Linked DNA regions of Arabidopsis thaliana. The gene in region 2 interacts genetically with the main gene of each other region. Each region holds a gene or a part of one and is shown on either strand. Other genes may lie near its edges.

What was found.
Region 1: of PHV (region 2) and ESR1, changing one enhances a phenotype caused by changing the other (phenotypic enhancement), as found in Arabidopsis thaliana (one study listed by BioGRID).

What each region holds. Positions count from the first base shown.
Region 1 is NC_003070.9:4,427,906-4,431,570, forward strand, and holds ESR1 (Integrase-type DNA-binding superfamily protein), read left to right. Parts: upstream 1-1,812; 5' UTR 1,813-1,885; coding exon 1,886-2,872; 3' UTR 2,873-3,060; downstream 3,061-3,665. UniProt on the Arabidopsis thaliana protein: Regulates gene expression patterns in meristems and thus modulates organ development. Required for correct embryo patterning and cotyledon organogenesis. Modulates auxin signaling pathway in early embryos.
Region 2 is NC_003070.9:10,795,514-10,803,165, reverse strand, and holds PHV (Homeobox-leucine zipper family protein / lipid-binding START domain-containing protein), read left to right. Parts: upstream 1-2,072; 5' UTR 2,073-2,421; coding exon 2,422-2,642; intron 2,643-3,153; coding exon 3,154-3,313; intron 3,314-3,443; coding exon 3,444-3,559; intron 3,560-3,640; coding exon 3,641-3,731; intron 3,732-3,826; coding exon 3,827-3,922; intron 3,923-4,008; coding exon 4,009-4,122; intron 4,123-4,198; coding exon 4,199-4,282; intron 4,283-4,360; coding exon 4,361-4,516; intron 4,517-4,602; coding exon 4,603-4,677; intron 4,678-4,751; coding exon 4,752-4,858; intron 4,859-4,930; coding exon 4,931-5,120; intron 5,121-5,212; coding exon 5,213-5,401; intron 5,402-5,484; coding exon 5,485-5,565; intron 5,566-5,651; coding exon 5,652-5,792; intron 5,793-5,880; coding exon 5,881-6,170; intron 6,171-6,268; coding exon 6,269-6,386; intron 6,387-6,469; coding exon 6,470-6,619; intron 6,620-6,691; coding exon 6,692-6,838; 3' UTR 6,839-7,042; downstream 7,043-7,652. UniProt on the Arabidopsis thaliana protein: Probable transcription factor involved in the determination of adaxial-abaxial polarity in ovule primordium. Specifies adaxial leaf fates. Binds to the DNA sequence 5'-GTAAT[GC]ATTAC-3'.

The DNA.
Region 1 (3,665 bases), 6.4 Mb from region 2:
TTTACTAATATATTTCTATCTACATATAAAATTTAGATAAAATTTGATTTCTTTGCTGAGTTTGTTTGGTTGAACTAAAGTCATGTTAAGTTTGATTCGTTTGGTTGTGAGATATGTAGATTGAGTACGGTTTGACTATAAATAATTGGTTCATTTCTTGCTTTCACTTAATTGATTAGGTTGGATATATAATTCACATGTCCAACCCTAATCGAAACCGAAGTATTTCAAGTTGATATTATGATAGATACACTAAAATTATCTCAGAACACGAGCTATCGTAATAATTTACTTTGTGACATCGGAAATCACAAAGACATTTGCATAGGACTGAGCTGGAAACCAAAAGTCTTTAGTTCCCAAAATTATGAAGAATTTCTCAAATTTTTAATAGAAAATAGATAAGTTCACCAATGAACTCTTTTGTTGTTTTTACCATATAGTAATAACTATACTTAACAATTATTATAGTATATATTAACTCAACCTACCCCCCCAGACAAAATCTTATATCAACCATGGATACTGTTAGTTTGGTAATAAAAGATCTTGCCTATGGTTTCACATAGAGTTGTAACATTTCAACATTAGACAAAATGTTATCAGTTTAAGTTCATATTATGACTATGCACATTTTAAATTAAAACATTTTAGTTTGCTTGTAAAATTACAGAATTAACGCAGGGGTTTTAATTGCTGCTTATTGTCTCATTCAGTCATTTGCCGACCAACCAACATAAATCTCAATATAATGAGTTCATGACGTCATGGTCATGGTAGATGGTTTTATAATAATACCTAAAAAATCTCAAATGATGGTAGTAATTAAACACATATGACGCAAACGCAGCCATTACAACGCTATTTCAAAACTTATTTAAACAATTAGTAATACTTACCAAAGCTTTTGAAAGATACTCCAGTAAACTTGTCAAATTCTTATATTGTTCTAATAGACTTTATAATAAAACGTAAGCATCGGGCGATATGGCATGATTATTTCATGACAGAAGAAATAAATAATTTTAACAAAAAAAAAGACAGAAGCAATAAATAAAAAACAAGCTTCTGATACATGAAATACATATATGTCTCATACATACGTTTAGACAAACCTGAAATGTCCTCTTCGTACAATAATATCCACAAGTGTCAGATTTACACTGAAGTGTTGCTATGCATATCTTTTGTTCCATACTTTTCTTACAAAATCATTTATTTTCTTCTCGATATCACCGATTGGTGTATGTTGTAATCATACATTAACATTAACAAACAAAGATACTTTTTCAAGGATTATTCTAATTGGCAGTTTTAGAAATAATGGAATTATCCTTTACTAATCATACAGAAATAATGTAAATATGTTTAGCATGTGTGAAATGACTGTTGGTCGATTTTTAACTTTAATAAATAAAAAAGCAATAAGAACGTGGTTTTATTTCGCCACTCCCACTTGCATCGTCATCATCAAAGAAAAACACTAATGTCTAGACCAAAGATTTAAAACATCTACCCCATATATATATGATGAACAAGATAGCAAGTAAATTTAAATGTAAAATTAAATTTTAGTTTGCTAAGATTAATATACAAAAGAAGTATTATCAATTTATCAGTTATTAATCAAATCAAGTTTTAAGTGCAACTCAAAAGTTTCCATGCTTATATAGTTATTTGTATACTACTATACTGTATGTGCAAGAAAAGCATTTATACTCTTCGCCATATATTTCAAACTTCACAAAATTTAATTAAATTTTTATACCATTTATGTACCTATAAATAGATAGAAGAAGCTCCATCTCTTTCAAACTATCAACCACCAAAATCTTTCACATTACACCTTCCTTTTGTCCTCAAACCAAAACCCTAGAAACCAAAAATGGAAAAAGCCTTGAGAAACTTCACCGAATCTACCCACTCACCAGACCCTAATCCTCTCACAAAATTCTTCACTGAACCTACAGCCTCACCTGTTAGCCGCAACCGCAAACTGTCTTCAAAAGATACCACTGTAACCATCGCCGGAGCTGGCAGCAGCACGACGAGGTACCGCGGCGTACGCCGGAGGCCGTGGGGACGATACGCGGCGGAGATACGTGACCCAATGTCGAAGGAGAGACGTTGGCTCGGAACATTTGACACGGCGGAACAAGCCGCTTGTGCTTACGACTCTGCGGCTCGTGCCTTTCGTGGAGCAAAGGCTCGTACTAATTTTACTTATCCGACAGCTGTCATTATGCCTGAACCAAGGTTTTCTTTTTCCAACAAGAAATCTTCGCCGTCTGCTCGTTGTCCTCTTCCTTCTCTACCGTTAGATTCCTCTACCCAAAACTTTTACGGTGCACCGGCAGCGCAGAGGATCTATAATACACAGTCTATCTTCTTACGCGACGCCTCGTGTTCCTCTCGTAAAACGACTCCGTATAATAACTCTTTCAACGGCTCATCATCTTCTTACTCAGCATCGAAAACGGCATGCGTTTCTTATTCCGAAAACGAAAACAACGAGTCGTTTTTCCCGGAAGAATCTTCTGATACTGGTCTATTACAAGAGGTCGTTCAAGAGTTCTTGAAGAAAAATCGCGGCGTTCCTCCTTCTCCACCAACACCACCGCCGGTGACTAGCCATCATGACAACTCTGGTTATTTCTCTAATCTCACTATATACTCTGAAAATATGGTTCAAGAGACTAAGGAGACTTTGTCGTCGAAACTAGATCGCTACGGGAATTTTCAAGCTAATGACGACGGCGTAAGAGCCGTCGCAGACGGTGGTTTATCGTTGGGATCAAACGAGTGGGGGTATCAAGAAATGTTGATGTACGGAACTCAGTTAGGCTGTACTTGCCGAAGATCGTGGGGATAGCTAGATATTCATCATGATTATGTTTTGAGTTTTGGTACTATCGACTTAGTTTAAAGTTGCTACCTTTCCCAATGTTGGATATTAACTAAATTATGTTTTAAGTTGAATTTGCTAATAGGATTTCATAATTATAATCAAGTTTATAATATATTTTCGTAGCTAATTAAAGTTTATATCCACGTATTCTGACACATTACGCGCTTAATGATTTAAGTTGTATCATAATTTATAATCACATGGTGGAACTTGTTAAGAAGTTACGTAACTCTTAAACAGCTTTAAGCCTCTAACATAGTCGTAATAGCAAGAAATAATATATATGATGAGAGATGAGTAAAATAGGAAAATTCCTTTGTTCAGCAATGTTGGTATCGACCTATTAAAAGTGAATCTGCAGATGAAAAAGTGATATCCTTACATTTATTTGTTTGTAGTCTGAAAAGTGGACTAACGTTCGTACAAAAGGCAGTGTTTGTCTCTGTCTTCTCCAACTTTTCGTGCTCTCTTCATTCTATCACCAAAGGAAAAGCTGAACTACTAAATAACAAAGGTCAAGAACTTTAATATTGATTGATGTCAAAAAAATTAGTAATAAGTACTGATTTTTTCACATGTTGATTAATAAGTACTGAATTTGCAGAAATAAACTAAAATATATGCTTTGACCAAAAAAAAAAAACTAAAATATATGCTTTTTCAAAAAAACTAAAACTAAAATATATGCAGAATGAGTTTAATTCATTGCGAATATATGATGAAATACAAAAAAAAAATTGCGTTTTTTTTTGTATCA
Region 2 (7,652 bases):
GTGATCCAACTGAAGATCGTCCACCTCAAAAAGTTCTTTATACACGTGAAAAAGTTCAAATGGTAAAATAGAAAACAATGAATTATGTTTCACAAGATCTTCCTTTTCAAATTATTTAATTTAATCTTTGCATATTTAGACTTGTAGCAACTATCAACAAGTCGGACACAACAAACGTTCATGCAAGCGTAAAGCAGTGCCAAAACCACCCAAGAAACCTCAAAGACGACCAAGGAAAAAACAGAAAACAATGGATGAAGAGAACCCTATCACTCAGCCAATACAATCTTCTCTTCAAAGTTAATGCTTGACAAGTCTTTACTTTAGAATATCTTGTCCCTCTGAAACGATTGTTTTTTTTGTGACAAATATTGTTGTGTTGCAACAGCTTCGATAGTTATGTTGGTTGGATTTATTTAAGTATGACTCTTTGGATTATTTTAAGTTGTTGTGTCTTTCTTTCAGCTTCTAAAATCCAAACTAATTAAGCAATTCAAAATCATTTAGAACGTTTTTTTGTAATAAATTCAAAATAGTTTTAAAGAACATCATGTGGTTTTTGCGCTAAATACAAATGTCTCGTTGTTTTTTTTTTTAGAAATTAATATCCCATTAATAATTAATTACTGTGGAGTTAAGTTTATTAACAGGTTTTAGTTCAGGGTTTGTTTTACTAAAAACATAGTTTAGGGTTTAAAATGGATCTGGCCAAAGTTAAGGGTTTTTTTCATTAAATTCCCTAATTTATATTCAAAACTTTCAAAACAAGTTAAAGGAAATAAAACCAATTAAGGTTAACCAAAAAAAACAACAGATTTCACGCATCTCACGCGCATAGTGACATTGTACATACTTGTCATGCATCGTCTCTTCCACATGGATACAAAAGATAGGCATACAACAACACCATCATCATGAAAATATGTACATGCACATACATACATACATACAACGTCTTAGGACTAGAGAGCAAAGAGGGTAGGGAAAATTTGATGCTATGTTTGGGTAGGCCACTGTCACAGAGCTTAAAGAGAAGTGCTTTCTTTCCCTAAGTTAGCAAATTACCCCATTTTGTCAAAATTCCGTTTCTTCTGACAACAACACTTACGTTTTACGAATATAAATAGTTGTAGCATGATTTATTTTTGTTACCAATAGATAAACATATTTATTCTTATCGATTGCCATTAGGACTAGGGATTCTGATAATAATTGATATGTCTTAAAATTTGCAGAGACAACAACTTTGCGTGTTGGTTTTCTCATCTGTTTGTGTTTAGCCTTAGTCTGAAATCTGAATGCATTTAAGTTTTTCAAAACTAATCACTTTCAATCCTTTTTAATTGTCAACATCTACTTGTCCTTTTAATCTAATCCAAGAATATTGAATACAGAAACATGTTTACACAAAGAAAATTAGGTGGTAATGATATGAATTAGAGAAGTGTAATCAAGATTCCATCTCATATTAAACCTATTTAAAAGAGTTGTAAGAAAAAATAATAAAACAAGTAATTATTTACTTATAACTATGCATCAAATATTACGAAACTTTTAAAATGAATTGTTAATCTAATTCAATCAATATTATAATTATCTATTTAACTAATAATATTTATATGGTGGCAACCAAAGAATATATATGGGTCCAACTGGTAATTTAGATGAATTGTAAAATTTTTCGGAATAGTTGCAAACTATAAAAAAGAGTTGTACGAGAAAGTTGTATAATAAAATTGAGAATAAAACTTTTTATAACGTTTTTGATAAAGATTTTATAAATGATAACTGTCAAAGTTGTACAAACTCTACCGCTTTGATAATGAGTTATCAAAGACATAAACTTTTATCCTAGTTAATCATTTTAACTTTTAGAATTTAAGCTTTGAATTAAAATTCAAGCTTAGCTTTGTATAAGAAAAAGTTTAAATATTTTTACTTTGCCTTAACAGTAAAAAGCTTTTAACCAAAAACATTGAATTCAACCTACTCTCCCAAAAATTTCACCTTTAATTTTTTTTGAAAACAATATTTACCAGTTTAGTGCATCTTGTTGGGTTGTTCCTTGTCCTTTCTCTCTCAGAAAGATCTTTACTTTTACTTTTTCAGTATTTTCCTCTCTCTTCTCTCTCTTCTCTCTCTTCTCTCTACTTAGCTGCCTCGCTTTTGCTCCTTTTACCTCTTTCCATCTTTCAATCTCCTTTGAGAGAGAGAGCAAATGAAAAAAACCCAAAAAACTCTTTTCTCCAACCATTACCATCTCATGAACACTCTCACAGGAGGCTCTCTCTTCTCAGAGAGCCTACCCATCTAATATTTCTTCATCTGAGTCTCTTTTACTTCTCTCAAAGTATCGATCTTTATTCTTCTTTTTGTAAACCCTCTCTCTCTCTCTGATTTCTACTGACCTGTTTGGAAGATATGATGGCTCATCACTCCATGGACGATAGAGACTCTCCTGATAAAGGATTTGATTCCGGCAAGTACGTTAGATACACGCCGGAACAAGTTGAAGCTCTTGAGAGAGTTTATGCTGAGTGTCCTAAACCTAGCTCTCTGAGAAGACAACAGCTTATTCGTGAATGTCCCATTCTCTGTAACATCGAGCCTCGACAGATCAAAGTTTGGTTCCAGAATCGCAGGTTATTATTTCTTTATTAATTGTCTTTAATGGAATGTTTTTTGTGTTCTTTGATTGTTTCTGTAATTATAAAATTGAATTTCTTTTGTTTGTATTTGGAGACAAAAATGTTCTTGTCTGACAATGTTTTTGGTAATCTTCTTGTTTTTGGTCTAATTGGTGATTGTTAAGCTTTTGAAACTTTCAGATCTATGTCTATAAATTTGTTTTTCTCTTTTTGCTTATTAGGCTTTTGTTGACACAGTTGAAAGTTAAAATCACAAGGAAAAGTGACAGCTAATCAAACTGTCTTTGATGAGCTTTAAAACGCCTCTCTCTTTTTTTCCTTCTGCAGAGAATATGTTGGAAATTACATTATCTTTTGTTCTTTATGTCATTCTGGTATCATTCTAAAGCAAAAAAGTGTGTGTTTCTTCTGTTCATTTTTCTATTATTTCAACACATTTATCATACTGCTATAGGTTTGTCTTTAACTTTTCTGGTTTCTTTTGGTTGTTTTGTTGACTTTTTAGATGTCGAGAGAAGCAGAGGAAAGAGTCAGCTCGTCTTCAGACAGTGAACAGGAAGCTGAGTGCTATGAACAAGCTTTTGATGGAAGAGAATGATCGTTTGCAGAAGCAAGTCTCCAACTTGGTTTATGAGAATGGATTCATGAAACATCGAATCCACACTGTAAGTCCTTGAATCCCTTTTGCTAAATGCATTGTTGAGTTGTTATCTTTGATGCTTGTATATGTATTTGTTCTTTAAGAGTTCTCTGTTGTTAGAGAGTGACTGGTGAAATCTCTGTGTTGTGTCTTAGGCTTCTGGGACGACCACAGACAACAGCTGTGAGTCTGTGGTCGTGAGTGGTCAGCAACGTCAGCAGCAAAACCCAACACATCAGCATCCTCAGCGTGATGTTAACAACCCAGCTAAGTAAGGAAGGCTCTTTTTTTGTTTGTGAATTTCTCATTGTGACATTATGAGAAGAGACTAAATGGAGTGTTTTTTTGGTAGTCTTCTCTCGATTGCGGAGGAGACCTTGGCGGAGTTCCTTTGCAAGGCTACAGGAACTGCTGTCGACTGGGTCCAGATGATTGGGATGAAGGTAGATAAGTTGAAGTATTTTAACGTTTTCATATGTGGAAATGAAGTGGTTTTTAGAAAATGTTTTAATATGTATTTTCATGGTTATGTATGTAGCCTGGTCCGGATTCTATTGGTATCGTAGCTGTTTCACGCAACTGCAGTGGAATAGCAGCACGTGCCTGTGGCCTCGTGAGTTTAGAACCCATGAAGGTAATGGTGTTTTCTTTTTATTTTAATCTTGTGTTGTAAGAAGCGGAAATTCTACGAAGGCAATCTAAACTTCAAATACTGTGTAGGTCGCTGAAATCCTCAAAGATCGTCCATCTTGGTTCCGTGACTGTCGATGTGTCGAGACTCTGAATGTTATACCCACTGGAAATGGTGGTACTATCGAGCTTGTCAACACTCAGGTCTGTTTCATAAATCCATGAGTGTTGTTTTTGTTCCTTTAAAATGTAATGATCATTATTCATGGTTGGTTATCAGATTTATGCTCCTACAACATTAGCAGCAGCTCGTGACTTTTGGACGCTGAGATATAGTACAAGTCTAGAAGATGGAAGCTATGTGGTGGGTATTAGGACCTGGTTTTGTTCATCTATGATTCTATTTATTAGATTTGCCTTATATTTGCTTTTTTGCCTTCAGGTCTGTGAGAGATCACTCACTTCTGCAACTGGTGGCCCCAATGGTCCACTTTCTTCAAGCTTCGTGAGAGCCAAAATGCTGTCAAGCGGGTTTCTTATCCGTCCTTGTGATGGTGGTGGTTCCATTATTCACATCGTTGATCATGTGGACTTGGATGTAAGCATATTGGATTTGTAATAGCACATTAGGTTTCGTAAAAGCCTTCTATTTATGTTGATTGATACGTTTTTTTGGTTTGGTAGGTCTCAAGTGTTCCTGAAGTCCTCAGGCCTCTTTATGAGTCTTCCAAAATCCTTGCTCAAAAAATGACTGTCGCTGTAAGTTCCATATAAACCTTATCCACCCGTGACCTGATTAGGCTCTCTTTATGAGTTTTACTTCCACATTTCAGGCTCTGAGACATGTGCGCCAAATTGCTCAAGAGACTAGTGGAGAAGTCCAGTATAGTGGTGGACGCCAGCCTGCAGTTTTAAGGACTTTCAGCCAGAGACTCTGCCGGTAATACATTTCCTTGATAAGCTTAGTTTTATTTTCTAAAGCATTGTTCTAATTGCTTTTCTTGAAATTCAGGGGTTTCAATGATGCTGTAAATGGTTTTGTCGATGATGGATGGTCTCCAATGAGTAGTGATGGAGGAGAGGATATTACGATCATGATTAACTCTTCCTCTGCTAAATTTGCTGGCTCCCAATACGGTAGCTCATTTCTTCCAAGTTTTGGAAGTGGTGTCCTCTGTGCCAAAGCTTCTATGCTGTTGCAGGTGCCTATATCATGTTTTGACACTTGTGAATAGACAAAAGAACCGGTTTCTTCAATTTCTGACATCATTCTCTTTTTTATCTGCTCTTGAAGAATGTTCCACCCCTTGTATTGATTCGGTTCCTGAGAGAACACCGAGCTGAATGGGCAGACTATGGTGTCGATGCCTATTCTGCTGCATCTCTCAGAGCAACTCCATATGCTGTTCCATGCGTCAGAACCGGTGGGTTCCCGAGTAACCAAGTCATTCTTCCTCTCGCACAGACACTCGAACATGAAGAGGTACAAAGAATCTCAAGAACATTTTCCTTGTTGTCTATTCTTTTGCCATGCCTATAATCCTATTTTGCTTACTTGTTTCTCAGTTTCTCGAAGTGGTTAGACTTGGAGGTCATGCTTACTCACCTGAAGACATGGGCTTATCCCGGGATATGTATTTACTGCAGGTTTGCTTTATACTAAAGACACTCAGGGATTCTTAAAGATGAGTTATTGAAATTGAATTCTTGGTTTCTTTTTTGCTTTTGTCCAGCTTTGTAGCGGCGTTGATGAAAATGTGGTTGGAGGTTGTGCTCAGCTTGTCTTTGCCCCAATCGATGAATCATTTGCTGATGATGCACCTTTGCTTCCTTCTGGTTTCCGTGTCATACCACTCGACCAAAAAACAAATCCGGTAAAAAGAAAACTGTTTATGATAAGAAATTTGATATCTTGAAATTGACACAGTCCTTTTTCTTTTATTCCTGTATGTAACGTTACAGAATGATCATCAATCTGCAAGTCGAACACGGGATCTAGCATCGTCCCTAGATGGTTCCACCAAAACCGATTCGGAAACAAACTCTAGATTGGTCTTAACAATAGCCTTCCAGTTCACGTTTGATAACCATTCCAGAGACAATGTTGCTACAATGGCGAGACAGTATGTGAGGAACGTTGTTGGTTCGATTCAGAGAGTGGCTCTAGCCATTACGCCTCGTCCTGGCTCAATGCAACTTCCCACTTCCCCTGAAGCTCTCACTCTTGTCCGTTGGATCACCCGTAGTTACAGGTACTCTTCTTAGAACCTTAATCTAAAGACTTGTAACAATATAGAATGTGCTTATCTCATTTAATAACTCAATAAAATGTTTTTCTCCGATGTTTTAGTATTCATACAGGTGCAGATCTGTTTGGAGCTGATTCTCAGTCCTGTGGAGGAGACACATTGCTTAAGCAACTCTGGGACCATAGTGATGCCATATTGTGCTGCTCCCTGAAAACTAATGTAAGAATTCTGTTTTTTTAAGAGGTGCTCAATCTAGTTTATGGTTCGGTTTGGGAATTGTCTGATTATTTTTTGGTTCTCAGGCCTCACCGGTATTCACATTTGCAAACCAAGCTGGTTTAGACATGCTTGAAACTACACTTGTGGCACTTCAGGATATAATGCTCGACAAAACACTTGATGACTCTGGTCGTAGAGCTCTTTGCTCCGAGTTCGCCAAGATCATGCAGCAGGTTAAACATTTTCTAGCTAGTCTTTTAAGTCTTTCCCTGGAAAATACTAAGTTTGGATTGAATCTTCTTCAGGGATATGCGAATCTTCCGGCAGGAATATGTGTGTCGAGCATGGGCAGACCGGTTTCGTATGAGCAAGCGACGGTGTGGAAAGTTGTTGATGACAACGAATCAAACCACTGCTTGGCTTTTACCCTCGTTAGTTGGTCGTTTGTTTGATGAAGGAAAAGGTTGGTTATGTTAGATATTAAAAGTTAGGGGATGTTGTTTTTGGCTAAGGTTTGTTGAATTAGAGAGTCCATAACTCTATATGTAATATGGAAAAATTCTGATGATAATCTCTTTAATCAATTATGACATTATGTATGGCAAGATATTTATTTTTATTTATGTTTTGGACTTGTTTCGTTTTTCTTCATCTTCCTTTTACGAAATTTGATATATATATATATATATATATATATATATATATATATATATAGATAGATATAAGATGAATTATTATTAGTAATCTTATAAGTTTTTATCATGTGTTAATGTACAAATATAAACACAAAGATTGGCCTCAAAAGCATGTCGAATAAACTAAATTAATCATCATAGTTTTTGGCAAAAAACGTTTAATGGACTTGGTAGCTCATATGTAACATGAAAAATGTATGCGGAGTTTAGGTTGTATGCATAAATAATAATCATCCAAAAGATTAGATTTGAATGAATCTTTGACATTAAATGATCAATAATCATTACTAGTATTTATCTATTAAATTGAAATAGTATCTATCACAAGAAAACTAGTCATGATGATGCTGTTCTTTGACTTCTAGGCTGGAGGAACCTATAAACTTTTCTTTTGGGTAGTCTAGTTAGTAATGGAAGTTGATAAATAGCTTTTCTTTTGGACAGAAACCTACAAAACTCTTATGGAAGTTTTATACCGACCAAAAATATGGAAGTTTTATTTATGTACAATCTCTTTTTATCATTTTTCAGCATAATTTAAAGAAAATGGTGGAATATTTTTATATAACCA